3 linked regions of the Nothobranchius furzeri genome follow. Each later gene encodes a partner of the first gene's protein in a complex. Links are inferred from orthologs where the notes say so. Each region holds a gene or a part of one and is shown in the gene's direction. Other genes may lie near its edges.

Evidence for each region. Proteins that work in one complex are often made in the same cells at the same time.
Region 2: wash1 (region 1) and washc3 share a complex: the UniProt entries of both Homo sapiens proteins name them as parts of the WASH core complex. The link is inferred for Nothobranchius furzeri from reciprocal best matches to the Homo sapiens genes WASHC1 and WASHC3.
Region 3: wash1 (region 1) and washc4 share a complex: the UniProt entries of both Homo sapiens proteins name them as parts of the WASH core complex. The link is inferred for Nothobranchius furzeri from reciprocal best matches to the Homo sapiens genes WASHC1 and WASHC4.

What each region holds. Positions count from the first base shown.
Region 1 is NC_091744.1:70,584,931-70,589,846, forward strand, and holds the start of wash1 (WASH complex subunit 1), read left to right. Parts: upstream 1-1,471; 5' UTR 1,472-1,635; coding exon 1,636-1,643; intron 1,644-2,340; coding exon 2,341-2,481; intron 2,482-2,780; coding exon 2,781-2,892; intron 2,893-2,963; coding exon 2,964-3,110; intron 3,111-4,593; coding exon 4,594-4,730; intron 4,731-4,823; coding exon 4,824-4,916. UniProt on the Homo sapiens protein: Acts as a component of the WASH core complex that functions as a nucleation-promoting factor (NPF) at the surface of endosomes, where it recruits and activates the Arp2/3 complex to induce actin polymerization, playing a key role in the fission of tubules that serve as transport intermediates during endosome sorting.
Region 2 is NC_091741.1:43,372,097-43,377,346, reverse strand, and holds the start of washc3 (WASH complex subunit 3), read left to right. Parts: upstream 1-2,208; 5' UTR 2,209-2,343; coding exon 2,344-2,394; intron 2,395-3,890; coding exon 3,891-3,989; intron 3,990-4,091; coding exon 4,092-4,157; intron 4,158-4,229; coding exon 4,230-4,367; intron 4,368-5,250. Other genes in the region: uncharacterized protein, read right to left, coding at 1-75, 170-287, 361-471, 544-639, 726-827, 910-1,112, 1,833-1,866. UniProt on the Homo sapiens protein: Acts as a component of the WASH core complex that functions as a nucleation-promoting factor (NPF) at the surface of endosomes, where it recruits and activates the Arp2/3 complex to induce actin polymerization, playing a key role in the fission of tubules that serve as transport intermediates during endosome sorting.
Region 3 is NC_091744.1:77,763,678-77,768,857, reverse strand, and holds the start of washc4 (WASH complex subunit 4), read left to right. Parts: upstream 1-2,138; 5' UTR 2,139-2,227; coding exon 2,228-2,288; intron 2,289-3,153; coding exon 3,154-3,293; intron 3,294-3,369; coding exon 3,370-3,423; intron 3,424-3,504; coding exon 3,505-3,570; intron 3,571-3,656; coding exon 3,657-3,702; intron 3,703-3,796; coding exon 3,797-3,864; intron 3,865-3,950; coding exon 3,951-4,033; intron 4,034-5,180. UniProt on the Homo sapiens protein: Acts as a component of the WASH core complex that functions as a nucleation-promoting factor (NPF) at the surface of endosomes, where it recruits and activates the Arp2/3 complex to induce actin polymerization, playing a key role in the fission of tubules that serve as transport intermediates during endosome sorting.

The sequences.
Region 1 (4,916 bases):
TGTCTTGGACCTATAGGGATGGAACCAACGACCGGCAACTGGGACAACTTCCATTCTCTGTCTCACTTTCTACAGGCGAAATAGTGGACAGGTCCTCGAGGAAAACAGGTTGCAAACAACAGCGTTTTTCTTTATTTTATAAAACACTCGTGAATTGTCTTTAAGCCATGAACCATATTTTTCTTTCCTACTCAACATTAAGTCAACAGTACGTCACTTCCGATTTCGAAATTGTTTCAAAATCAAACACATTGCATCCACTTTCTTCTGAATCAGGCACACTTTATTAAATATTTATTCTGCGTCAAAACTAGAGCTTAGTTAACTACATTTTTCTCTATTTACTATTAACCACTTTTGTCTTTTATTTCAACATTTCATTTAAATTCAATTCAATTCAAAAATACTTTATTAATCCCAGAGGGAAATTGATTGCTGTAGTATCTCAGAATAATAATAATAATAATCAAGTCATCAAAGAGTTATTGTATATTACAATGGCTGTTGGCAGGAAGGATCTCCAGTAGCGGTCAGTGTTGCAGCGAAACTGAAGAAGCCTCTGACTGAAGGCACTCTTCTGTTGTCTGACAGTCTTGTGAAGAGAATGCTCAGGGTTGTCCATAATTTTCTTGATTCTCTGGAGAATCCATCTTTGCATTATCTCCTCCAGCGGTTCGAAACTGCAGAAACTCTGGCTGAGTCCTTGAAAGGGCTTGGAGTTCCTCTATCTTGTCGGCCAGTGATCTCACATTGCCCATTATGATCGATGGAAGAGATGGTTTGAATTTCCTCTTTCTCTGTCTCCATTTTGCTCCCGTTCTGCATCAACGCTTCTTGCGTTTTAGCTCATTTGGGATTTGTGGCTTCAGTTGAGGTATTATTTCAGCCTTTCCAATGTTAATCAGCTGCTCCCCATTGTAAACAGCTTGTTGCCATGGTTACGCATCATAACAAATGCTCAAAAAGTGAAAAAGCTAAAAAAAAGCAGTAAAAATCCTCCAAGCTTCACAGCACCAGAAACAGAAGAGTAAAGTGTCCAAAAATACAGTTTTTCTTGAGAAACTAGAAAAAAAATGCCCAAGAAAAGGCAAAACTTACATATAGTCAACAGAGCTACTCCAACATACAGCCACCCAGAGCAGCGCAGTTGGGATTTACGATGCATTTACATTCACAAGTCCAGTCTTCTAGGTATTATGACCTCTGCCACACCACAGAAACCACCGTACTACAATAATCGACTGTGATTCTCTGGAGGCAGGCGGTGCAGATTTGCAACAGTTAAAACCTACCTACCTGGTTACTCCACATATGTATTTCATGAACATTTTTTAACTCAGAAGTACCCCTAAAGGACGTAGTTGTTCATCCTTTTATCAAAACTTATTTTGAGCCTTAGAGGGTTAATAATAAGCACATTAGGTTTGAATTTTAAACTATCCGAGCTACCATGAAGGCAACACCATCGTTTTCTACATGGTCACATGATACAGTGATGCGGAAGTATGAAACCGATGTTTTGCTAGGCTATCTTGTAGTCGATCTGTAAGCTATAACAGACAACTAAACTCCTTTAAACTCTATATTTTCTTCGAGGTTTTTCTCAAAGTGTCTTTAGGAAGAAATCAAAATCCAATGGTGAGGTAAGGATATTATTGTCAGTGCAACGTCGTTATCGGGTGACACCTTCGGTAACCAATATCTCACTGTTTCATTAGTTGTTTTTTGTTTGTTTGTTTTTTGGAGTATATTTCCAAGCAGCAGCTGGCTCACATATGTATTAGCTGTGGTCCATTTTGCTAACTTGAGATGATTAAGCCCGGGAAATAAGAAAAAAGTAAAAGTATTAGTTCTTTGTGAGTCTTCGTCATGTGAGTCAGATGATGGGTTGTTGCTAGATGAACTGTTCCAGTTCCCGTGATGACTTTCTTACACAAACTTGGTATTGTGCTTCTCTTTGTGTCAAAATGGCTTAATTAAGTTTTCTAACCATTTCCATTTTTAAATGACTTTTTATCTCCTGGCTTTCCCAAAAGCGTGTTTAAAATCTCCAAAATTACTGCTTTTAATTGAGTGATTCAGTATTATTTTCGTCTGCTCGATCTGAAAGCATAAACCAACAATTTCTGCTATTTATTTGGGGTTTTGTAAGTTATTTTGACAAATCATGAAACTCTGGCACAGATTTACTGTGTCTGTGATGTTTGATTCACTGCAAGACGAGTTGATTAGTGCTTTTCACCTCATATGTTTCTCCCATAAGAGGTAGTTCCATGTGTTTTGCACGCAGCTGGATGTCTAATCGATTACTAACCTTGCTGTTGCACCGCTGCTTTGTAGGATGACACAGAGGCACTGCCTGGAGGGCCAGGTGTACTCGGTGCCCCTCATTCAACCAGATCTGAGGCGAGAGGAGGCTGTTCATCAGATAGCAGACGCATTGCTGTATCTTGAGTTGATCTCCACTGACATTTTCAGAAGGCAAGCATGTGTGCGCACACATACGTTCAGATTTTTCTGAAAACATATCTATAAAGCTACAGAGCTCCAAAAGAGAGTAATTGGAAGAAAATATTTGGGTTTGTCTTTATAAAGTCTTGCTTCAGGTTGAAAATTCCGCTTCCAGTGGGAGTGATTTTTGTTCCTATGTAAAAAAAAATGTAGTTGGTAAAACATAATCAATGCAATCTTTATGAACGAGTTAAATACACAGTTTGAGACGTATTCAGCTTTTATTTATAGTTTTGTTTGTGTTCTATTCCTGTTGGTGGTGCCTTCAGGGTTTCCGAAAGCGTAGAGAAAAACCGACGCCAGCTGCAGAGCGTTTCTGACCGTATCAGACTAGCTCAGGCCCGTGTTGACAAGATTAAAGGCAGCAAGAAGGCCACCAAGGTAACAGCAATTACCGTTTAAAAATTTTAAAATCCAAGATGAAACAATCCTAATTTGACGCATTTGTTTAGGTTTTCTCCAGTGCCAAGTACCCAGCCCCAGACCATCTTCAGGACTACTCATCTATCTTCTCTGGGGCAGTGGACCCTTCCTCACAAAACCGTCCCCATCACAAGATACAGAATAAACTTCGTCCGTTTGATGAGAAGGCATGGCAGGTGGGATAAAGTGTTCTCTAGATATGTAAATGGTTTGAGTTGCTAACATGTGAATTGATGTTTATGGCCAATTAGATATTTGTATTAAAATGTGTAATTAATGAAGTGGCCATTGAGTTTATGTTGACATTTGATTTTCCTTTTTTTTTTTTCTTATTAAAGTAACACTGACCAGCTTCCTGACCCCCTGCCCTACTGGTTGCAAGTGGGATTACAACTTTTGTAAACAACCCTGCTGCAGCCAATTGTAGCTAGCGCTAACAACGAGCTAGCATTAACAAGAGCAAGCTAATACTAAAATAAACCACCAAGTAAAAAGATCCTATTTGTTGAACAAAAAGTATTATTACAAGTCAAGTAACAAAGCTAGGTCACCATCAGTTTGCAATTATGTAACCTCCTTTAGCTCTCTCTATTGTAGGTCGTGCCAATGTTCTACACAAAAAAGTAAACGTCTTTTTTTACTTTTTCTTGTGTTTTTTTATTGACAATCTGCAAACTGAAAATGCTAACTGCTAGCATAACAGCTGACAGCTGTGAAGCAGGTAAAGAGCTCCCCTTATAGGGCACCTACCTACTCCACCAAACTGTTAAGTGCTGTTTCTGGTCAGCAGTGGGCTGCAGAGTGGTGTTCAGGGTGAAGATGGTGAAGTTTATTACTCACACAGTCACTTAAACCCACTTTTGATGGACTAGCTTAAACTGTTTAGAGTTATTTTAAACTGTTGTTCCGGAGAACGAGGAGAAACTGTAAAATGGCCAAAGTAGATTTTTACGAAGGTGGGGGTCCCATAAAATTAGATAGAAAAAAGAAATTCATATTGATACTGAAATTCTTTAAAAATCAGACATTGTGATTTCCTGGAGTTTTTTTAGCTTCTGTTTCTCACAGTTTGAGTAGCTATGATGAAAATTAGACTCATCTCGTCTTTTTAAGTGGGACAACTTGCACAGTCGGTGTACTGTGTTAAAAGTCGGAGCTCATGAGTCCTTTCTTCATTCAAATCGGATCCAGTGATTGGGTTAGGGTTAGATTTGCAAATTTGTTCAAGCATCGTGCCAAGCAGTGAATTTGTCACCCATTGAACATGCAGGAAGGATATCAGCAGCTGTGTGTCACTTAGCAGGGAAATTGGCTGTAAACATGTGAATGTGTGTGTGTGTGTGTGTACATGCCCCAGCTCAAGCTTTTGCATTATTTAAAGCTAAGCCCGCAGTTTATTTTTTATTGCACCATCTCGGCAAGAAAAGCGAGCATGTTTGCTGCTGTGTAGTTTTTGTTAGCATATGTGTGTATTTGTCAGACTGAAAGAAAACACAAGACAGTTTGCTTTGGTGCAGAAATGTATTATTCAAGAACCTCCAGAATTCGAAGTGTCCTCATTGGTATGATTGTCCGAGTTAGAAACGCTTAAGTGGCGTTGAGACGACGTTTTACAGATCACCCATAAACACACGCTATGTCTTCATCGTCTCCTTCCAGGAGAAGCTAACGTATTTCCCAGTGTGTGTGAGGAATAAGAAGAAGTCTGAAGATGAGACAGAAGAGGGATTGGGCAGTCTGCCTCGGAACATCTCATCTGTTAGCTCTCTGCTGCTCTTCAATACTACCGAGAATCTGTGAGTCAGCATATCGTTTCTGTGGAAACCAACTGTGTTAAGATCAGTCTCTGACTTCAGTTTTGTGCTTGTTTTTATTTATTTTATTTTTAGTTACAAAAAGTACGTGTTCCTCGACCCTTTGGCGGGAGCAGTGACAAAAACACACACCACGCTGGAAACAGAGAAAGAGGGGAAACCCTTTGA
Region 2 (5,250 bases), on another chromosome or scaffold:
CTATGTTTGTCTTTTGTGAGGGCGGAACTGATAGAGCAGACATGATGCAGCTCCCAATGCTGCAAGATGGTCCATCTGTGAAACAAAGGCATGATCAAAGTTCTCAATATGTTTTTTAGGGGAAAAATCATTACTTTTAAAAAAACTTTATCGTTTCAGGTTAACTTACGCATCATTTTCAGCAGTCCTAAGCTGTTGTAGTGCTTAAACACAGAGCTCAGCTCCTCGGGAGATGGCTGAACACATTCCTCCAAAACAGAAGGAGCAGAAGAAAGCCAGGCAGTAGTCTGCAATCAAAACCAAACTCAGCTAAAGTTCCTAAAAGTTTCAAACATGTAAAATATCCTGAATATAACAAACCTGTTTAAGGTCCGGTACTGGGAGCAGCATTTCCAGCTTTGACAGCAACTCCCACAATAACACTTGCAGTGCTGAATCATATTGTGGCCCGTATTCAACAGGAAACACCTCCTGTAGCACCGAAAATGGTCTTTTAAACTCTGAAGTTCAGTCAGATAAGTTTGTTTTAAAAAGTTGCCTCACCTGAAAAAAATATGCTCTTTCAGCCGGATCTTTGAGCAAGCTCTGAACAAGTGCAATAAAAGTGCACTCGGTTGTTCTCACCTCTGTGTCCACAGTCTGCAAAAAAAATCATATCATATCACTCAGAGAGCGCTCTTCAAGAAAACATTGACATTTGCATCAAGTATCATTAGTTTACATACGTCTGTGGTTGCAGAGGTAACTGGGAATCCCTCCAAGTAGGTCTGGATCACATCAGAATCAACATCGTGTCGAGCAGAACCCTTGCACAACTCCAAAATCAACTGAAATATCATCAAAATATGTTAATGCACGACTGAGACACCAAAACAAGAACGTTTGCATGTGAAACAAAACACCATTCACCCTGGCCTTCAATCCGAGAAGGAGATGCGCTCTCTGTCTGTGGTTGATCAAACCAGGAACTGCTTCTGTCAGCATGGACACAAACTCCTGCAGCTTCCCATAGTTCATCACATCTTTCCCCTTCATCAGATTCCACATAGCAGCAGACAGAAGATGCAAGGGAGGCACCAGGAGGCGAAAGGAGGGCAAAGGGAAGTTTGGGTCTGAAACATTAATGTGTAAAGTCAGAAATGACCGATGGAGGGCAGTAACACACCCCCTAATTCAGAGAGCATTCAGAGTACTTGCAGGAAACAGCAGGTGGATAAAATTTTCACGATGTGATTTTGCAAAGTTCTCACATTTTACACATAACTGAAACAGTTATTGGCTTCATACAGATAATTAAAAACAATCAAGCAATAAAACAATCACGTGATCTGTTACATTGTTGTCTGTCATTTGCTTGCTTGCTTGCTAAAGTCACTGAGACCAGTCAGTGACTGGATGCAGTTTGCTGGGTTCCTTATATAGGAAACTTTTTTTCCTGATTGGCTTAATGAACTGACCTGTATTGGAATGTTAACTATGTGAAGTGCCTCGAGACGACTCTTGTCGTGATTTGGCGCTGTATAAATAAACTTGAATTGAATTTGAGCTACAGGCTTTTGAACTGGAGAAAATCCTGGACAGATCTTTAACATTTTAGATACACAATCTGGAAAATGTCCACAGATGTTACTCAAAAGCTTCGCAACTTAGTTAAAACAATATATCGCGTAAGAGTGTCTGTACATTTAACAGCAAGCTAACTTCCACTGCGCAACAACAACAGTCTGCCAAATAATGAACATTGTGGTTCCTTTAAATAGACAGAGCCCACTGATAGTAAAACAAACACGTCTCCAGAAAATATCAGAAAGGCAAACTGGTAACATACATACCCTCCATTTTTTCTTTTGATTCCACAACTTCCATTAAAGCATCCCACCAAGTGAATTTGAGGAATCTGTGTATATTTGTGCTGTTTGTTTTGGTGGCTAATGCGCTATTAGAGCGCAAGCATCGCTTCCTCAAGTATTCACTCAAGTTTCCGCTTTTCAAAATATATGTCTGAAAGACGTGTTTTGGTGTTTTCTAATGAATTTCAGAATGCTATTATTTTCAAGTTCTTTTTTACTTCAAAGCCAATGACTAGATAAAGAAAAAGTTTAGAAAATTTCGACAGCTCGAAATATAAAAGTGTGAATTCGAGTGCATTGATGCCTCTTCAAAATAAAAGTTAATCATTTCCTTTTCCTAGAGTGACGTAATCACGTAGCCAGTCACACTGCTCAGTGTCACGTGAAGCCTTCAACGGTGTAAATGTTTTGTTTCATGTCATTTTTTCTTTCAAATTTCGTGCCATTAGACCTGAAACCACATTCCTATTCACAGGAAGTGTAAAACGCTAACATGGACGAGGACGGCCTGCCGTTAGTCGGGTCAGGAGTCGATCTTACGAAGGTTTGTGTTTCTAACTGGTTAGCTAACACTGAAAACCTGAGAACCCAAAGCTATGTTTGTGCTTTTTAACAAAATATATAATCACTAATGCAGAGAAAACTGTGGCCTTTTTCTAACTAATTTCACCTACTTGTAACTGTTTGCCTAGTCATTTTCCTTTTGGTTTGTTCTAAAGAAGTATCAAAAGAGGAAAGAACGTTTTCTCTCCGAACACTGATGTTCTATTTGAATACATCATTCATTAGATTCTATTACCGGTGTTGTGCCGAAAAGAGCTTGTCTGCGAAAATGTGCATCCCCTGCGGGAAGGCGCGTATGAGACCGCTTTTTAATAAATGTGTACAACATGAGCTGCATCCTTCCTTACAAAATGATGGTTTATGAGCAAATAAGTAAAATAAACTACTGTTTATAACATGTTTTATTTTAAGTAATATAATGCACATATAAAAGGTTAGTCATTTTGAGTCTGCTTTTTTAAACCAACAAAATTGTTTAATACTTGCTAAAACATTAGTGTCAAACGTGTTGAAAAAGGTCAATTATTTAATCATTATTTCATCATATTTGTAGTCAAAAACAAAATCTTTTCAGGAGAAACACGGATTAGAAACGTGTTCAAATTCTGAATTGCTCATAATTCAAATTCTTCTTCAATTTGCGTCTTTCGACGGGGATACACATTTCGGTAGGCGTGCTCTTTTCGGCACAACACCTGATATACAGTAGTCTGTTATTCCAAATGTTTTTCCTCCACACCGATTTGCATCCATTATATGCAAAGTCAGACATGTGGGTAGAGTAGCCAGAGATTATACTCAAATAAGAGTAGCATTACTTTCATATATGTTTACTTGAGTAGTTAAAAAAAAGTACAAAAACTGTGTTTGCAAAAAAGCTGCTCAAATAATGAGTAATCATAACAGCTCCTTTAATTTATAAAATCCATTCAAACAGATAATAGTATAATGTTATATGATAAATTATATAATGTAAAGACTTAATTAAAATGTTGCATTTCTTTTTCCTAAAAATACTCAAGTAAATATAATTAGTAACTACCCAACACAGAAAATCAGATTTGATAGTTTTCATCATTCTTTTTGCCATTAGCATTTTGTTTGATGCAAGACTTTAAAGGTAGAACTCAGCTGCTTTTAAAATTCTCTCAAATACTTGAAACTTTGCAATAATCCACAGGTTACTGTATGTTATTGTGTTGTTTAAATAACACTGCTAACACATGACCCTGGTCTGTTTATGTAGATGTTGTTTATTCTCCCTGGTGTTAATTGTTGTTTTGTACTGCTTTGTTTCAATAAAGATTTACAAAAAACATTTTAACAGCAGTAGTTAAAAGTCATTTTAGAATCCCCTCAATATTATTTAAAGCCATAACATTCAAAAATCAATTATACTAGAGGTTTATGTTTAGTAAAATAAACTATAGTAACACTTGGTAAGTTTTTAATTATACTGCTTTTATCTTTTCTCAGGTTCCTGCAATACAGCAGAGACGAATCGTTGGATTTCTCAACCAGTTTGTTGTGCACACCGTACGATTTCTTAACCAGTTTTCCACCGTGTGTGAAGAGGTTTGTGTTTGTTTGTTTGTTTTTTACTCCTTAATGCTTCTTCTGCCTCAGAATATGAACTCAAATTATGTATTTATTTATTTTTTTTACTTCTCTTCACAGAAACTTGCAAACATTTCTCTTCGCATACAGCAGATTGAAACCACACTCAGCATTTTAGAGGCTAAGGTAACTTGTGAGACCTTGATACCGTTTCTGGATGTTGTCTTTTCACTTATGCAGTGACATTGTTCTGAGCAGCTGTCCTCTATTCCTGGACTGGAGGACGTCACAGTAGAGGGCCTCAACCAACAGCAGGCCTCCCACACTAAAGGACCCAGTACTATCGGTCAGAACCTAACTAACGGTGTAGCAGCAGGACCACCTTCTTCCTCAGAGGTAGGAGTTCAGACCCACCTGCAACAGACATGCAGGTTCAATCGGCCACGATGAATGCCAAAACAGTCTTTGTGTCTTTTTTCTTGTTTGGGAGTCTGTGATGCCAAAAATCGGCAGTTGAACTTTTCTTTTTAAGTCGGAATGTAGATTGTCATCAGCTCTTTGGTCGATGCAACAAGTAGAAACCTGCCGTCAACGCAACTGTTGTTTTGTTTTCTTTTGGAGTTTACGTACAAAAAAGGCTCAACATTCCCCTCCTGTTGTAAAGGATAGACTTTTAGTTTTGAGAACCTTCAAAGAAGTATGTTTGTTACTGGCTGCTTTGTTTGCATAGTGATCGGATTGGATTTTGATTGTCCTCCTCACACTCTGACAGGATTGTAAAATCCTATCCAGAAGTGTGACGTTACATATTTACAGTGAGAAAGGTGGAAAACCTTCAGGGCAGATTTCCTGAGTCTGCAGCACAGAGTTCAGGCCGAGGTCAGTAAACAAGCCATCACTTTTGGTTAAAACAGTGCACCAGGTCAGCTCAAACACCTCCTGTCCTCTGTAAAGCACGGTGGCAGGGGGCTGATGATTTGGGCTTATTTCTGCAGTGACTGAGTCAAACATGAACTCCTCTTTACACCAAAGTGGTCAGACTTAAACTGAAGTATAGATTGGGTCTCGCTGATTAATTCCCATCGTTACTGTGCAAACAAGACAGGCTTGCGCCATTTGTGATGAGATGTATGTCATGTTTGCACAATGACGCTGCACGTTATTCAGCGATCCACTGTCCACGTCCATTTTGGAAGTATTTTTAGCTGTGAGACACCTGATCATAGAAGATAAGATAAGATAAGAACAACTTTATTTATCCCGAGGGAAATTCTTGTGT
Region 3 (5,180 bases), about 7.2 Mb from region 1:
GCAAGTCCGCCACTGGCGCCCTGTACTTTTTACAGACGAGAGCAGGTTCACCCTGAGCACCTGTGATAGATGTGAAAGAGTCTGGAGAAGACAAGGAGAATGTTATGCTGCCTGCAACGTCGTTCAACATGACAGGTTTGGTGGTGGGTCAGTGATTGTCTGGGGAGGCATAATTTTATCAATCCAGGATTACCTTAGGGAAAGTTCAAAGCACAGGGGGTTATAGTAATCAATTCATCAATACCAATACGGATCAACAATCAATTTAGACTTTGCAAAGTGGAGAGGAAAAATGCACACCAGTCAACGGTTGCCAGTTCACTCTCATCAGGCTGACGCCTTCCGACAGTATTTATTAAGCATACACACAAAAGATTGACGCACACACATTTTGAGACTCTCAGGCAGGAAGCTGTAAAAGAAAGTCTCAACTCTAACACTCCAGCTGCAATCTAAATCAACAAAGCAGTCTGGACTTTCTCAAGGGAGTTTTACTGACAAGAGGTCGGTACCAAGGCAAGGTCATCCTCCCAAAACCTCCTCCTTGTAAGACCTGCAGGGGCCTGTTCTCCATCACAGAGTAAAATAAACGGATGAAGCTACATTTAATAAACACCAGATGTTAAACAGTCAAGACATTAATAAAGTTAATATCAGTTTTTACCCATCACATATCCATGGAGGGACGCACAGACCTCTGCTGCCTAGGAAATGGTGCTCTGACTGCCATAAGGTATCGAGATGAAATCCTTGAACCCTTTGTCAGACCCTACGCTGATGCAGTAGGTCCTGGTTTTCTCCTAATGCACGACAATGCCCGGCCTCATGTGGTAAGAGTATGCAGGCAGTACCCGGAGGATGAAGGAATTGAAACAATTGAATGGCCTTCATGATCCCCTGACTTAAACCCAATAGAACAACTGTGGGACATTATGTTTCGGTCCATTAGGCGGTGCCAGGTTGCTCCTCAGACTGTACAAGAGCTCAGGGATGCCCTCACACAGATCTGGGAGGAAATGCCACAAGACACCATCCGTTGTCTCATTAGGAGCATGCCCCGACGTAGTCAAGCATGCACACAAGCTCGTGAGGGCCACACAAGATACTGAAAAGCAATTTGAGTTGCAGAAATTAAGTTTTTGAAATAATGGACTAGCCTGCCACATCTTCATTTCAGTCCAATTTTAGGGTGTCTTCACAATTGAGCCCTCTGTAGGCTGATAACTTTTATTTCCATTAAATGACTTGGCATCCTTTTGTTCCTAAGACATTGCCCTGTCGTTATTTGTATAGACATCCAACTTCATAATGAGATCTGATGTATCTAGTGTGTTTCTTTAAAGTGTTCCTTTAAATTTTGTGAGCAGTATATATATATATATATATATATATATATATATATATATATATATATATATATATATATATATATATATATATAATATTTCTTTTTTTGTTTGTTTAAATTCTTGTAATATGGGTTAAAATTTGCTCTGCCAAACAATTGAACTGCATCTTTTTTGAATTGTTTGCATTTTTGTGAGTCCTAGGTTGTATGTGTATGTGTGAGCATGAGGGTGTGTGACTGTGTTTGTGTAGAGACTTCACTTTTCATTCAATATTTTTATTTTAATCATTCTACATGGATGCAAAATATTTTATATGCCACTTGAAAGGTCTTCAGCTTTGAGCACATTGTTTTTGACCTGACATTTGAGGTAAGGAAAACTGTTTCTGTGACCCTCAATTCCCCATTTTCTTTTTAACAATTATTTGTTGAGAATCACTGCTTAAATTATATATTTTTGATCCTTTTCCTCTAAAAAGTTTCTTATTATTTTATTGTAAATTATATATATATATATATATATATATATATATATATATATATATATATATATATATATATATATATATATATATATATATATATATATATATATATATATGTATATATATGCGGTACGTGTGTGTGTGTGTGTGTGTGTGTGTGTGTGTGTGTGTGTGTGTGTTTATGTAACATATTTGTTACATAATAGTGCTTAATATATATATATATATAACTAAAAATAAAGCACTATTTACTTTCTCAGTATGTTCCTAGTTGGTTATTGACGCCGCACCGGAAGACTACATTTCCCATGAGCTCTAGCGGTGAAAATCACAAGACCCATCATGAGAGTGTAGTCTTACTTTCTAGCGTCTCTTTGGGATTTATTCTGGTGATATGGCTGTGGACACTATCGCACCCGACTGGGAGGTTGACCGTTTTGACGACGGTTCCCAAAGTAAGTGCTCCCTGCAGTCCTGGCATTCACAGAAATACAGCAACGGAGAAAAGTTAGCTGCAGTTTGCACATAGTGTCAGCCGACGTTGTTAGCAAAATGCTTTGCTGCTTTATTTCTTGTACTTTCCAGAAGAAAATACAATGTTTTTCATTCCAAACTATTTTGTAGACATTTTTCTTGGAAAAATTTAGTGTTTGGTGTAAATAAACATGCTGGAAATAAGTGAAAACAAGACGTAGTTAGTGGACGTCAAAGCTAGCTAGGATAGCTAAGGTTTAGCTTGCATCTTTGACAGCTGGTTCCTTTTGTAACAGCAACACTAATAATAATATTAATAATAATAATATAACTCTTACTATCATCAAAAGGGCTTATTTGTTCCTGTAATGTCTAATGTGTCTCATTAATAATAATTCCCTTCTCAACAAATGTATCTTGTTTACTTAATTGTAACACTGCTGTAAAACAGTTGTACTTCTAATGTGTTCATTTCTGCCTTCAACGTGCAAATATTTAATCAAAAAATATTACAAGACCTTCAAAAGCCTGTCTGTCTTAAAAAACTAAAAGTAAATCATTAACATCACGTTATTATGCAACTTCTAATAGTCACGTATTGCCATATGTTTGCTTAATTACCAAAACATTAATAATTCTGTAGCTGTATTTGGTTCATTTTGAGGCAACTGAATAAAGCAATGTTCTATACAAAGAGGTATAGGTGACATAGTTTAGTAAAAAAAAATATTTTCTAAAATTTGAGAGCAGAACTAATTAAATTCAAAATGTGTGTTCTCAAATGTAATAACTTTCATTTGAAAACTATTTTTCTCAGTCATTTATGTTTTGTAATCCACCTGTCAGAAATACACACAGAGGTTCAGATGAAGAACTACAGCAGGTTTCTGGAGGAGTACACGTCCCAGCTGAAGGGCATCGAAGAAGCTCTTGATGACTCCATAGGAGACGTGTGGGACTTCACTTTGGACCCCATCGCGTTGAAAGTAAAGCAGCAAAAACAACAGAAAATTAGCCTGAAAAGACTTCTGTTACTGTATCTTACCATCTGCTCTGTTTCAGCTTCTGCCTCATGAGCAGTCATCTTTACTGGAGTTAATTAAAACAGACAACAAGGTAAGCAGACACAAATTTGCCATGTTTTTGAACTCAGAGCAACTTTTTTTTTCTTCATTTGGAAATCCCTGTTTTGTTCAGGTTCTGAACAAAGTTATCACAGTCTATGCAGCTCTCTGTAGTGAAGTGAAACAACTCAAATATGAGGTGAGAATGGTCAAATGGTGAGCTCAGATCAGTTTATGACGTCTGTTTCTGTTAGATTTTCATTCAAATCATTTCCTTTTTTTCAGGCAGAAACCAAGTTCTACAACGGCCTATTGTACTATGGAGAAGGAGGTAGAATATCTGCAATTATTTGTGACCTAAGTGATACACAGCACTTCTGTTTTAATAATGAAAATGAGCAGTTTGGTCTGTTTTTATGTTGCAGTGTGTGAAACCAGTGTTGTTGAAGGGGGGTCGCAGATTCAAATGGGCAGATTCATTTCATTCCTTCAGGTGGGTGGTTAGCAATACCCTCCATAGGAGTTTTATTCATTATCAGTGCTGTTGTTTCAGTCATTATTTTTGTCTTCCTCACGTAGGAGTTGTCCTGCTTTGTTTCAAGATGTTATGAGGTGGTGGTCAACATTGTTCACCAGCTAGCTGCCCTCTACAACAGCAGCAAGTAAGAGCCATGAGCTGAGAAACCCATGTGGTTATCATTAGGGATGGGTACCTTTGACATTTGAATCGATTCTGTACTAATACCTAGGAATCGATACCGGTACTTAACGGTACTAATTTTAGTTACTTTTGAGTGTTTAATATTTTAATTCTCTTTTATAATTAAATATATATTTTTCTCGATATATAACCATATTTGATAAATATCACAATAAATAACATGCAACTGTTTGTATTTTAACATCATCCTTGTAGTTTTATAAGCTGATAATTGAACTGAAGCAAACATCTTTACTGTGAACTAAATTTACTGTGTATCTTCATTCCTTTTGCCATCCGTTTTCTTTTGATTTTTCCTACTGGGAAGTTAGAATTTCCGAGGAGAAAGCGAACGCACCATTAGCTGATAACAATGGTGGCAATGGAAGCTAACATATCAAGCTAACATTATCTTAAACGGTTTATTTAGCTGCTGGAGCAGATTTAAACGATGATGCCTCACACTTAAATCGTTGTCACTGGTTTCGTCTTCACCCAATCACCCGTCGCATTTAGTAAAGTGAAGCCAAACTTTAGAGCGCGTTCATGTTCTTCTATAGTCGGAAATTTGGAGTTCCGAGGAGAAAGCGAACACACCAGTAACGGAACGGAAGCTAACAAATCAAGCTAACATTATCTTAAACATTTTATTTACCTACCGGAGCAGATTAAGATGAGGATGTCTCACTTAGATCGTTGTCGCTGGTTTCATCATCATCCAGTTACCCATCACATTTAGTGAAGTGGACCCAAGCTTTAGCGTGCGTTCTTTCTACCATGCTGCTCTGTTTACAACTGGCTCGCAGTGACCAACGACATAACGCTCTTGCGCATGCGCAGCTGTCTAGGCAAGTTCTCGTTATGAAGGACGGGTACCGAAACGAGGCACCGTTTCAAATGACGTGAATCGGTGCTCAGTCGGTACTATGGAATTCGGTCGGTACCTTAAAAAGTACTTAATTCGGTACCCATCGCTAGTTATCATGAAGGTTTTATTTGATTGACTTAAATCCAAACATTTCCAGTGGAAACATGGAATACTCTGCTTCCATAAAAAACAACTTAGAGACTGATCAGCAATCTCTAAATAATGTCACAATTTCTGTAAG